Lytechinus pictus: one gene and its partner. The main gene of each other region encodes a partner of the protein of the gene in region 2 in a complex. Links are inferred from orthologs where the notes say so. Each region holds a gene or a part of one and is shown on either strand. Other genes may lie near its edges.

Evidence for each region. Proteins that work in one complex are often made in the same cells at the same time.
Region 1: the proteins of DNA repair protein REV1-like (region 2) and DNA polymerase kappa-like are in contact, whole or in part, in an NMR structure (PDB 2LSI), measured with the Homo sapiens proteins. The link is inferred for Lytechinus pictus from reciprocal best matches to the Homo sapiens genes REV1 and POLK. Residues at the interface, in NP_057400.1 of Homo sapiens: Asn1158, Leu1159, Ala1160, Gly1161, Ala1162, Asp1167, Leu1171, Leu1172, Glu1174, Trp1175, Thr1178, Ile1179, Met1183, Glu1185, Asp1186, Gln1189, Val1190; in NP_001374042.1 of Homo sapiens: Lys564, Lys565, Ser566, Phe567, Phe568, Asp569, Lys571, Arg572, Arg575.

What each region holds. Positions count from the first base shown.
Region 1 is NC_087249.1:24,851,035-24,858,113, forward strand, and holds the start of DNA polymerase kappa-like, read right to left. Parts: upstream 3,025-7,079; 5' UTR 2,826-3,024; intron 2,171-2,825; 5' UTR 2,126-2,170; coding exon 1,969-2,125; intron 1,691-1,968; coding exon 1,561-1,690; intron 689-1,560; coding exon 577-688; intron 145-576; coding exon 1-144. UniProt on the Homo sapiens protein: DNA polymerase specifically involved in DNA repair. Plays an important role in translesion synthesis, where the normal high-fidelity DNA polymerases cannot proceed and DNA synthesis stalls.
Region 2 is NC_087258.1:19,728,340-19,735,638, reverse strand, and holds the start of DNA repair protein REV1-like, read left to right. Parts: upstream 1-4,263; 5' UTR 4,264-4,397; coding exon 4,398-4,590; intron 4,591-7,299. UniProt on the Homo sapiens protein: Deoxycytidyl transferase involved in DNA repair. Transfers a dCMP residue from dCTP to the 3'-end of a DNA primer in a template-dependent reaction.

The sequences.
Region 1 (7,079 bases), on a different chromosome or scaffold from region 2:
CATGCCACCGACTGCCATTGGTTTATCTTTTAGTTCAGGGTTGTCTCTCATTTCAACAGCAGCATAGAACATATCCATATCAAGATGAACAATGGTCCGGCTCAAATCTCTACTCAGCTCCAGATCTGTCACCATTTCATCAACCTGGAATAAATTCAATAAACACAAAGAATTATTGAATACATTAATTTGACAAATATAAACTGTTCTATCATACATGATAAAACTCAGTATTCTTGATTGATTTTAATAGCAAAATGTCCATATGAATTCCACAATCACAAAGAGATCTGACTATGAATTCCAGAAATACAAAAAATTCCATAAACCTAGGTTTTATTATGAGAATACCAACAATCAAGTTCTTACAATCTATGGCTTTGGGATATTTTAGTATTTTGAAGCTAGATCTATTAGCTGGAATAAGATTTTTGAAAATCTTAAAACACAGAAAAGGCTACATATACAAACCCAAGAAATTTGTGTGCAGTACAACATATATATGCAACAACATGAGGTATTGTTTTATTAATGAAATTTCTAGACAGGTGACACAAACAAATTCTATCAACTCACCTGAGTCAAAGCAGCTTGTTTTTCAGATTCTGTCAGCCGAGAAAGTTTCTCCATCATTTTGTTGATCCTCTCCGTCGTCTGCTGCTCTCTTTTCTTCTGATTCTCATAATACCTAAATGCATGATAATATACAGTGTAATGATACAGAAGATTGCATCTTTCAAAGTAATTAACTTGGCATGTTGCCCAAGGAGTAATAAACAGGAAAGACTCTGGTGAAAAGTGGCAATGCATAATATTTGTTGAAATAGACATAATGGGCTACTAGCCAAGTTAAAAATACATGATTTAAGACAATCAACATACAAAGCTTCTTTTTTTTAGTATACTATTATAAGCCTTTACTTCTGTGTTTTCCTTCTTTTCCTGTTCTTTGCCAATAGTTTCTTTCGTTTCAAGTCATTACACTATATATTGTAACTGCCAGAAACTGTTTTGTAAGTACTTGAATACAAATTCATATATAATCACTTTTTAAAAAATACAATCGTATCAACTTTGAAAACAAATGATAAAAAGGCAAACAGTTATATTTGTTAAGTTTCTAACTTCTAGTACAGCAGAGTTTATGTGTGTAGTGACTTTGCTATAGTAATTCATCTTATTATTATTCTAACAATCACATAATTTTCAAAAGAGGGGGGGGTAAAATCCTCCTATTAACCCCAATGAGATGAAGATAAAATTGAGCTTGGCCAAAAGAGAAGCATTTATAAAAAAGGAAGAAGAAAAAAAGAAAACAGAAGGGACACATCTCCCCATCTTAATCAGGTATCTCTATTCAATATTAATTTCAAAGAATTTAAATTGTTCGCAAAAGAGCTTGAGAAGTAAAAAGCATATGGCCATGCCCTCCCCTCAGTCCCCTTTTTTCCCTCTCCTTCTTCTACCCTACCCCCTCCCCTTTCTAAGTCTCTCTCACTCTCTCTCTGTCTCCCTCTCTCTCCATTCAGCATCTCGTCATTCTATCTTTAAATTTCTAACCTTGAACCTTTTGAGGCTTCCATGATGATTTTATTGATCCTCTCTTTGTCTAAGCCTTCCATCCCTGCCTTGTTTGTGTTTAGCTTCATACTAGAAACCATGCTGCCTACTGCCTTCACATTGTTATTACCTGGAAACAACATAAACATGGTAGTGCAAACAGCATATGAAACAAAGTATGATGAACTTTCATATTGCAAAGTCAAAACTAAATGGAAACTACTTTTGTTTCACGTTATGAATTTTAATATACCATCCCCTCCTTCCCCCCCCCCCTTCTCTATAGATCTCTCTCTCTCTCTCTCTCTCAACAAAAATGGAATCATAAGTGGGCTTCACGCTTGATAATGTACTTTAAACTGAATTGAATTAAATTTGTAAACATATCAATGAAGAAAAAGAAATTACCGGATAGAAGTTGATTGTTACTGCTGGTCAGTGCAAGATGAGAGCTGCAATAACCTGACTGACCTGGAAGGCTTGATGCTGGCAACGACCAGTTTTCATTGTCGTCATCCTGTTCATCCATCTCTTTCTCTAAACTTTCCAATGTTGGTGTATTCATTCCTGATGGCTATATATATGGGTGGGGGACCCTATCCTATAGTACCTTGAGGTAAGAGGGGGAGAGTTTGTATGAATATTTAAGACCTCCTTCATGCTGCAAGGATGGCAATAATCAAATCAATAATAATAAAACAGAAATTAAATACCCTGTATCAATAGCATTAACATGTAACATTTAACAATCTGATATCTGTTAAGCAAGTCAAATCATGATTTTTTTTTCTGAATGTTGCATCATCTTAAAGATTAATCAAAAATCTTTCCTTTCTGAAAACTTGTCTATTTCATTAGCATCAATGTGATATTTTCCATGATTTGGGAAGTTAATATTGTGCTCTGTACTGCTGGCCTATTAAGTATTATTCATTTCATGACATAAGGCACCCTTAATAATTTCCATTCTCTCCATTCTCGTCTCATCTTTAATCAGTCGGAGATTTCATTGAATATCAAAAACATTTGCTTGTTTTGACATATCAACTTTCAATTTCTTTTGTTTAAATCTTAAGTTTTATTAAAATTTCTTCTTTGGTATTATTTCACATGACTGAAACAACTTTAGACTTGCAATTGATCGCAAGTTTCTTGCAATGCCCCGTTTACTTACAAACATGAAAAACAACTCGTGGGAACACACTGCAGACAGTGAATGTTTGAGATTTCCACAAAAAAACGAAAACTTCACGAATTTGACTTACCAGAGGCAGAGCTGGTGAAACGAACAGCAACCTCTTATTGTACTCTGGCAATTCTGACAGTTGGCCGGCTAGCTATGGCTTCTATTCAGAAAATGAAGGGCCTTTGGCTTCATAGGCATAGTTCATGAGAAGGGAGATGCCTGCGATCTGGCGCGCGATAATAAAGTACGTACGGTACCGGTATTTGATTTAACGCTATGGATTATGATGGAGTCGCTCCTCAGCTCAGCTCAGCTGATAATTTAAGGGCGTGGCCAAAAATGAAAAGGGGTGATTCCATCATGGAATAGGTCCATGATTCCATACACGTGTGTCGTACGGGACATTTAGAGAACATTTGACAGTTTTTTTACAAGAAAAACAAAAAGTATTCCAGTAACTAAAGGTGATCATCAAGTACTACCAGAGTGTTAGGAAAACCAGTTAGACTTAACATGACTTGAATTTACATCCTGTATAATACAGATTTAAAATAGTAATGTGTCGTATACGGACGCAGAAAAGGTGGCTTTTTTAGAAACCTCAAGTTTGTACTCTAAAGTCTGTGAATTGGACAGATAATTTTCATTGAAACTGAACTCAAATTGATATTCAATTACTCAAGAACAAACACATCTATGAAAGAAAGCAAAATAAACATTCATGAATAAATAAAGCAAATTATCATTTTCGAGAACATTGTGGCGTACGGGACACTCAAAATGTGTCCAGTACGGGACATCTCTAAATTGAAGCCAAACTTTCTTACTTTATGTCTCTTTGACTTCTTCAATCACTTTTTTGGGCTGATTATAATGATAATCCTATCAAACTAAAGACATTCATTATGTTAGAAACCGCTTTTAGTGGCTGATCTGAATATTTTTGTCAATATATCATTAACAAAATAATGTGTCGTAGTACGGGACACTTGTGTGTCGAACGGGACACTTGTGTGTTGAACAGCACTTACGTGTTGTACTGGACAGCCTGAATAAAACAATTAACTTTTTATCAATCAGAAGGGGAGCATTGCCCCTAAATTCTTAATTTTTAATGAAAAGCCTTTTAATAAGTAGTCATTCAGGACAATATAATTAAGTAACCTCAATATATACAATCGGGAGCAATATATTATCATTTTTTTCATGACGGGAAATGTACAATGGTTCACAGCATTTTTACGAGCTGAAAACGTGACGTTTTGTGGGTCATTTTGCCTCCGACGAAGATTCTGCTAGGATCGAAAGCTTATAGGCCCCTCTTGATTTTCTAAGTTATTTTAGTGAATTAATTGATGATTTCTAATACACTATTTAAACAATGAATGAATGAAACTGTTTGTGTAAATTATGGGGCTGCCAAATGTTATGATTTGGGGAGTTTTCATATAAAATGTATATGTCACAACTCACAACTGTCACTTGTAATGCCACAAAATATTTTTTTTTAAAGAAATGCGATTCTACTTTTTCAAACCTTTCTGCATTTCATGAAACCATATGGTTTGTCTTATTTTCCAGATTTTTTTTTACAACTTGAAAAAGTAAGGAGTTTCAATACTGTATTTAAAAAAAATTAGTGATCATCAAGGGAAGTCCAAACAGATGATTGATATGTAAATACTTTTTTTTACATATCTTATAATAATTTCACATTAGCATGCAAGAGGAAGTCATCTTCTAGGCTAGAGTGAATCAATTATAAAGGTTTTCTTTTTTTTCATTCATTCATTCATTCATTCATTTATTCATTCATTTTTCCAACAAATTTTACAATGCAATAATAACAATATATAAAACATAACATGCTCAATGACAAAGAAATTAACCTGCTCTGACCAATGAAAATCACCAGTTTAGCTGAAGGGATTCACAAAAGAATACGCCTACATGATGTCAATTAAAATGGTTGGAATCACCTATTTCATGTTCTATGGAGAAAAAAAGTACTTTTTCAGTTCACTTTATGTCAAATCAATTACTTAAATTAAAACAGGCCTACTATTTATAGTTTCTGAATCCAAATCCTGCAATTAAATGCAGTATACAAATTGTGTGTCGTACGGGACAACTTTTAATACGACAATTATTGAAAAATGAAAGGCAGTAATTAGATCCTTATGGAATAAATAAATTACCCATGGGTCAAAGATAGAGAAACTGATATTATGAAATTGCATCATCAAAAATAAAATTGTAGGATAAACTTTTGCATTTTCATGTGTCGTACGGGACATTGCCAAAAATAGGTTCGGAAAAATCAGGGCTGCCCCTTTTACGGATCATGAAAATGTTGTAAATATTATTTGGAACCATCAATGATACATTATTCCATTGACCTGCAATATTTTCAATCTTCTCGTGCTTTGCCAATAATCGTTTCAGGCAGTGTTTGTACTTGACTGTTTTTTTTTTTTTTTTTTTTTTTTTTTTTTTTTTTTTTTTTGGGGGGGGGGGGCTTCAGCTTCAGCTTAAGCTTCAGCCCCCCCCCCCACTTTTTTTTAAAAAACGTGTACAAAAACGTAAAAATGACCATATGATTGTGAATTTTGCATGGTCAGCCCCCCCCCCCCCCCACTTTGAAAACCGTTCCGCGGCCCCTGGGTAGGTTATGCGGGGATGCGGGGTGTCAGTATATAGGCCGAGGCAGGGCCGATCGAGGTGCCTATACAGTGGCGTACCTAGGATTTTCCACGGGGGGGGGGGCAAAACCGTCCGCCAAAAAATTTGACAAGCAAAAAAAAAAAAAAAAAAAAAGGTCTTCAACCACAAATAAAAGATTTCGTACCAGAAAAAAAAATTGACAAGCAAAAAAAAACACAAATAAAGGATTTCGTACCAGAAAAAAAATTGACAAGCAAAAAAAAACACAAATAAAGGATTTCGTACCAGAAAAAAATTTGACAAGCAAAAAAAAAAAAAAAAAAAATTGAATAAATAAAGTCTACAAGACTCGTCAGGGGGGCAGGGATATGACCCTTGCATGGGTTGTGACTCGTCAGGAGGGGGCAGTCTGCCCCCTCTGTCCCCCCCCCCCGTAGGTACGCTAGTGTGACTATCATTATAATTGAAGCAATATTACAACATACCTTGCTTTATCATATTTTATAATAACATAATAAAAGGAATTATACAATTCAAGATTCAAGACTAAAGAAATATCATACATATTAAATTCATTTGCGTTGATTGGAAAATAATCAAACTTTCTGCTTTATTAAACATCTTTGTGAAATATAATTTTCTTGATAATGAAGGGAATTTTAATAGGCTCCAACGAGTTTAAAAGATTCTAGATTCAAAATTCTAGATCCCAAGCTTTACTCCAAGCTGAAATTAAAGCATATAGTGAAAAAACAAAACGCTGTTGAGAATTTCATCAAAATATAATGAGAAATGATGAAGTTATCGAATGTCAAAGCTTGCCACCGGGGCTTGCCATTATATTGTGAAAACGTATATAAGCTGTCATGACCGTGAATTGCCAACTCGTCCACTCACCACCGTGGTCTACTTCTTCTAATGCCATTCCGTCCATCAACATTTCGTCTTACAACCATTTGGTCCAATCGATCATCACTCCGTCTAATCACCATTTCGTCTATATGGCCATTTCGTCTCATAACCAGTTGTTCTAATATCCATTTCATTCTCATTCATTTTGCAGAATTTAACACTTAGTCCAATTAGACCAAATGGTAAATGGCTATATGACCAACGCGTGTTATTAGAGGGAATGGCATTAGACTAAATGAAAGTAGACCATGTGGTGAGTAGACGAACTGATGGTAGATCAAAATAGCTATTGGCTATTGGACGAATTGGCATATTAGACGAAACCGTCATGATGTGCATGGCTGATGATGTCATAATTATGTCCCCATTTGTCCCTTTTCTTTAATATTTGTTACATGACATCATAAGTATGTCATGCGTGTATATATCTTCCTTGCAATTACAAAGGAAAACAGCAGGCCTAGTTAACCCTATCCTTAGAATATAATCTAATAGAATAGTTAGCATAGTAAGAAAAATATCAAAATCCTATATCTTTTGTATCTTTTGGTTATTTTTTTTCAAAGTTGACATCAATTTGATAGCCCCTATACCTTTGACATCATCCACTTGCTGTCAGTTTTATGAAATAGAGATTAACATACTTTTGAAATTAGTCTTGAAAAATCAAAGTCTTCACTATGGTTTAGGATTTATTGTCAAACTTGTCAAAATCTTATCGGGGGCGGATCTAGGATTTTAAGAAAGGGGGCACATT
Region 2 (7,299 bases):
TCCATACCGCACTCTGTCGCACGAATACAACACTTACCATTAACAAAACATTTCAAATTATACGGTTATTTGTATACCGAGTTGAGTGAGAGTCGATACAGGAATCATACAAAGAGTCCTTTACAATTTTTGTTTTCAATTTGATATTTAGCTTTTATTACGAAATCGTTACGAACAGCCCGCCTTTAACAACTCTGCGCCCCCCCCCCCCCTCCTCTCTCTCTCTCTCTGTCCCCCCCCCCCTCTCTCTCTCTCTCTCTCTACCCAACAAGGTATATTGTTGGAATCATATTGCAGACAAATTAAATAATGTTGGTATCGATCCACGGTGTCGCCTTACAATAATCACTATTAAAAAAATATGGGGAAATTAGTAATATAATTAAAGAGTTTTGAGCTCTTAATTATACTAACATCTCCTTCAATCACATACATTTTTTTTCATCGATGATGCATTCTTCCGTCTGATTTATGATTGGCCTACCATTGCACAGCAAGATAGAATTATAATATATTTTGGTAGAGATATATGACTTTTTTCGAGGGAGGGGGGGCATCTCTTGCATCTGAATCAGTGGCATAATGAGCGAGCGTGCGAAATGACCTTTTTTTAACCTTTTTAAAAATTCATTTTTTTGATAGATTTAGAATTGCTATTTACATCAATTTTTTTTACAATTTTTCCTTTTCTCCTCCCCGCTATTTCCTTAGGTTCGTGAAATTTAAGGTAGCCATGGCCCCCGCCCCCCCCCCCTTACGCCAGTCGCGCATGGGACGAGTGCAGACGAACATGGCATATTGGAAGCAATTGTATTCATTGCGAGCGAGCGAAGCGAGGTGGCAATTTGTTTTTACCTGTTTAAAGTAATGATAATTATAAAGGCTGACATAATTATTTTTCATAATAACCTTCTTCGGTTCCTTCTCTTTTTTCTCCCTCCTCTTTTGGTCGCGGAACATTGCTAAAACCAATTACCCTCCCCCCCCAAAAAAAAAAAAATCAATTTTTACGCCAGTGTCGGTGTGACTGTTTGTAAGAGGGTGTGGGTTGCGTGTGTGTATCTGCGCACAGGTCATTTAATTTCACACACACTCAATGTCACATATACTCAAGAAAACATACATAAAATGTTCAAATCATTGTTTTGATGAATCGTGATGTGAGATTATTGTATTTGGTTTGTATCGAAAGTACCCATTTACAACTGCAAGATTTTTATTAATTAATTTTTTTTTTCAAATTTATTTGTACTTTTTTTTCATTTGTATGTATTTTTTCACAATTTTAATTTTGCTCATTTGTAAAGCGCTGTGATACAATCATTATGAAAAGCGTTATATAAATACTCATATTGTATTGTATTGAAATGAAGTTAATCCATGATAACATGCTGATAATAACAAATCATGATGATAATTATAATAGGAACACCAATAAGTTAACATTATCTGCAGAATATCATTACATTTTGGTCTACCTTGAAACCAGAGTGAGGGGTTTGTACATAGCACGGGCCCACACCTGAAAAGAGCACATCACCCCCCCCCCCACGGGTTTCGATCGGTGTTCATTTACTTACTTTGATTTACTTGGATGTATATAGAGACATAAAGCTATAAAGCTTATTTGTCCCTCGTCACGTAGGGTTGTCTCTGGTATGGTGAATATTTTAATGGATGGGATTTCCAGTGCCTCTCGATTGCAGATTTAAATGCATTTAGCAGAAACTGCTACTTCAGGCAAAGCATTCCAGTTATTAATGCTTCTAACTGTAAAAGCATATTGCCGTGTCTGTAATCTACATCTGTATTTCCTGAATTTCATACTATGACCTCTGGTCCTTTTATTATCATCAAGATGGAACAGGCTACTCAGATCTATCCGATCAATACCTCTTGTGATTTTGAAGATTTGAATTAATTCTGCTCTTTGCCTTCTGTATGAAAGAGTAGTATAGGGAGTCCAAAAATTATCAACCTTTCAGGGTAATCTAAATGACGAATGTTGGGAAGTAGTCTCGTCGCTCGTTGCTGTATCTTTTCTAGTTGATCTTCATCTTTTTTTAAGACTGGGGCCCAAGCAGGATTACAATGTTCTAGGGTAGGACGTACAATAGCTTTGTAGAGTTTGAGCCAGCCCTTCTCATTTAGAGCCGTGAAGGATCTCTTAATTATGCCAAGCTTGGTATTGGCTCTTTTTGTAATATCAGCGACATGTTCACTGAAGGAGAGGGATTTGTCGAACACGACTCCTAAACCCGGGGGGCCACTTACATTGACGAGTGGATACCATGCGCGACCAAAAAAACACGTAAAAGGGATGTCTTTTTCACGATAGGGCACGTTACGTACGTAACGTAATAAGGGTGTCAAAAACACAAAAATAATGAAAAAGGGTATCTATTTCGCTCGGAAAATTACGTGTTTAGGGTCGAGTTTGCGGGGATGATAAAACAAAATTAAAATGTTTTTATAAAGGATGTCCTTTTTGCCCCAACACTTCGTGTATAGAGTCCGATTTGCGCGAGGTGTAGTAGGTGGGGTCTTACCGGGGTCTTACTAAACCAAAGAAGGTAAAGCCGACGACCGAAGGACCCGTTACAATAAAACATTCCTGAACTTGTTTAGGGTTTCATTTCAGGGAATATTTGCCAAGATCGAGTATCGATTTGTTTCCAATACTTGTTAAGGGTGGCACACGCCAATACTAATTGTTAAGGGGTGCATTTTCAGAATATGGAAATTACGTGTTTAGGGTGCTTTTCGAGACCCCATGGTCGCGCATGGTATCCACTCGTGAATGGAAGAGCCCCCCCCCCCCCCCCCGGACTCCTAAATCTCTCTCTCTATCTTCTGGTTTGACTTCACATATTCCCTCTTCGGTTGGCATCTGATATTGAAAATTTTTATTCCTACGACCATAATGTACAACCTTGCATTTTGAGTGGTTGAGGGATGACTGGCAAAAATATTGATCACTGTGAATGATTTGTTTTTTCAAGTTTAAGGGGCAGAAGCTTTATGAGTGTAACATTCTAATGACCAGTTTTGGCTTAAAGATCAAAATAGCTGCAAGCGAAGCGAGTGAGCAAACATTTTCGATTTTTTTTTTTTTTTTTTTTTAAATACAAATCTATAGTTTTGTGATACATTTTGGCATACTTTGAAATATTATCATTTCACCGTTATGTTTCCTTTCATTTCCACTTCTTTCTTAGTTTTTTTGGGGGGGCATATGGAACCCTAGCCATATATACGTCTCTCCGACAGTGGGGGTTAGTTTTGAAGACCGAAGTTTCAAGTAAAATATTAGTTTTATTCCTCAATAATCAAGGCTTAGTACTTCAAAGGACTGGATCAATAATGCAAACGCGGAGCGAGCGCTGATCGAAAAACTGACCTGAAAATGAGCCATTTTGAGGACTCATTGCTTCTTCATGAAGACATGCACGTCTATGTGCATAGATCTTACTGTTTGACCGAAATAGTGGAAATTTTAAAATATCATAACTTGCTATTCCTTGTCCGAATTTCTTTAAATCATATTATTACGTCATAAAGTAAAACGCAAGACTTAAGAAAAATTGTCACGGAAGTGCTGCCTATCCCTATTGCCCATTCTTCTCTCTACTGCTTCTGCAAGAGAGACCCCAGCTGTAGGTCCTATGTCATTGTCAACTAGATCCGAGCCGATCGACCACTTTTTCAGGTACGAAATATCCTTAATTTGTGGTTGAAAACCTGTTTTTCCTGTCAAAATTTTCCTCCAAAAATTTGCCCCCCCCCCCTTTGGAAAATCCTGCAATCGACCATTCCACGTCTAGCCTCTAAGAACTGTTTCAGAAAATAAGTTATCACAAAAAAATTGCTATAAGAGTTTAAAGCTAATGAAATCATTCAATTTGATTGGTTGATAGACGGATAGTAAACTTGTTATAGAAGTAATTGTTCTTATAACAATTCTCTTTCAGCGGGAAACGGAACCCTGTCAGGCGAAGAAGTACAGTCAAGCCCATGTAATTAGTATACATCTCTATGGTCAAGCCTCAACAAGTCGCTCGCTCGAATATAGGGAGGCGTGACGTAATACAGCTGACTATGAAGTGCCCAAATATTATTTCCATGATACTTGCGAGGTATGATGAGAGTGTATAGAAAGATTATCTTCAAATAAAGTATTGCATCTTAAGTTACTTTAAAGTAAGATGAGTACAAAAAGTAGTGGATATATTTATAATTTAACTTCAGGAAATGTACTCAAATATTGATGAAAAAAAGAAAATTGGCTTGTCATACATTGATTAAAGATCATTTAATTTTCCGCGCGATATATATACCGATAGAACTCGCTCGAGATCGAGGTAGATAAAAAAAAATCAGAAGGTGGGGCAACCAAAATGCATTCAAGAGGATCTTCAAAGAATAAGTCTAAGTCAGAAAATGAGAATCAAAGTCATGGAGGTTACATGTCTGAGAAAATTCGAAAACTTGAGGAGCAGTTTCGAAGTGATGCACCAACAAATAAGGAGAAGTCAGGAACGTCGACGGACATATTTCGCGGGGTCACCATCCATGTGAACGGTTACACAGGTATGTTCAGCCCGGCGGTTGTCCGAGACTCGAAATAGCTGATCCGTTGGTTGGTGGTCGGTCGCGCACTCTGCAGCTCTGACTCTGTCTCTGACTTAGCTGAGCGCAAGTGTATGCTTGACTGCTTGTGAACTTGTGCCTTGTGGAGGTATTAGATCTAATATTAATAATAGATCTAAAGTCTACCCCGTTAAAAAACCCCAACAAGCTCGAGCTCAAAATCTTTACATAGTCATAGATCCGATTAATTTTCTTAACCGAATCTGAATAGATCTAGGGCCTAACTATTATTATAGTAGGGTGTCTGGAGAAAAAAATTATTTTTCTTATTTCAAGAAAATATCACATTTTCTTTGTGAATTTGAAGAGAAATGACCTTCAGACACATTTTTGAAAAAATTCAAATTATTGGCTGCAAAAAAGAAGAATGAAATTAGGTCAATTTTCAGCATTTCTCTGCCATAGACTAGTTAAGAAATGGACACACACAAATCCAAATTTTCAGCTTCCGAGAGCTGTTATAAATTTATTATTAATGCCAAAAACTTGTCCATAAAGAGTCCAATAGGATTTTTTATGCTCTATCTGATGGTGTGATTTTTATAAAGATTTGGAAACCAGATCACAATGAAAAATTGCGACAAAGTCACAAAGTGAAAAAAATTGTGCAAAACAGAGATGTCATTTTCCCATAGAAAACGCATGGAGAAATGGCAATCTCAACACACACAAAAATAAGGGTTTGCAATTTATCTCTAAATCCTAATTCAAAATGATCATATAAACTTGTCCTTACTGTCAAAAGAAGCCCCTGAATTTTCTCTTTCCATACATGCCAAACACAAGTTAATAATCAATTCAGATCACATTTTTCTAGTAGCCTGAACTTCCCCGAAAAAATGTGCCATATTTCCCCCTAAATCAGCCTGTTTTATGCTGACACTTCTGAACAGTTTTGTTGAGCATCAAATGGCAAAGGTAAAAAATACTAGTTGCAGAGGCAAAAATGGTATTGTAAATATACTAAAAATGGCCATGGCTATAATACTTAATTAGAAGCAGAAATGGCTGAGGCAAAACTGGTAGAGGAGATGAAAAATGGCAGAGAATAATAAGAGGAAATCTTTTGAAATTTGAATTCATTTCCTAAGTAAGATTACTTTTTATTTTATGTGTTATGATAACACATAAAGTAAAAAGTAATCTTACTTAGGAAATGAATTCAAATTTCAAAAGATTTCCTCTTATTATTCACTTCTTCTACTTGAGGTATACTTCCCAACGCCCCAAATAAGAGCCAACACTAAACAGGGCAGTAGACTGTAGGCCATCACTTTTTTTTTTACAAATCTTGGTATAGAGATGACATTTTTTGTAAATAAAAGACTGAAGAAGTTAGGTTTTACTCAGAAAATCTAACTTTTGAAATTAATACCAATAGACATTTCTTAAGTTCTCTTTCATCTTTGCCTTCTTTCTTAATCAGAATAAGGATAGCTTGCCTTTGTGATGTTGACAATTCTCCTATTTCAAAACTGTATAATATCGATTCCATAAAAAAGCTTCTAAATCATTCCAAAAACATAAATAAAATTCCACTGGGATACCATCATTTCCCGGGCTCTTGTTTTTGGCCAAATCATTCAGTACTTCTCTACATTCTTTTTTAGAAATTGGTTTTTCCAACTTTTCCCTTTCTTCAATATTTAACATGGGAACACAAATTTTTTGTAGAAACGAATTACATTGTTCTCCAGCTCCAAACCTTACTTTTGAAGTGTATAACTGTTCATAATACTGCTTTTGAGCAGATAAAATATCTTTACAATTTGTAATTAACTGGCCTTCTACATATATTCCGTAACACAGCTGCTTTACATTATTCCTCTTTTCTAATCCTAGAAAGTACTCATTACTCTTTTCTCCCTTTTCGTACCATCGACTCCTTGACCTAACCATTAGCCCGGCTACTCTTTTATTGTCTATTTCTATCAATTCTTCCTTTATCTTTTCTATCTGATTAATAATACCCTCTTCTTCGCTGATGGCAAGTCTATTTTCAAGTAAATTCAATTTACTTCTTAATTGTTGTTCAATATCAGATATCTGCTTTTGTACGTTACTAGAATACTTCACACTAAAACATCGTATCTTATACTTGATCCAATCCCACTTTATTTTTGGTTCCATGGACGAATACTCTATTTTCCTTCATAACCTTAATATATTCTTCATCTAGGAGAAGTGAGGTATTTAGCTTCCAATAGCCTTTCCCTCGCATGTTTTTATTCAAACGTATTTCTAGGTTCACACCTGAATGGTCTGTGCGTAATGCACTAACAATATTCACCTTTTGAACTTTATGTTTCAAATCTCTGTTAATTAAAAAATAATCCAGCCGGCACTGAATAAGAGGTGTGTTTTGTCTCCAAGTGAATTGTCTGCGATTAATATTTCTGCTGCGCCAAATGTCGAACAATTCAAAAGGGACTATAATGTCTTTAATCCTTTGCACAACCTTTTTCTTGACCAAATGTGTCCCACCTTTTTTGTCTAGTTGTGCATCTAAAATACAATTAAAATCTCCACCAATGATAATGTTTTCCTTTCCATCCCATTCTGTTTCTAATATTTTTAATAAATCTCTATAAAACTGTACTTGTAAATTTTCCACATTTGGAGCATATAAATTTAAAATAAGAAAACTGT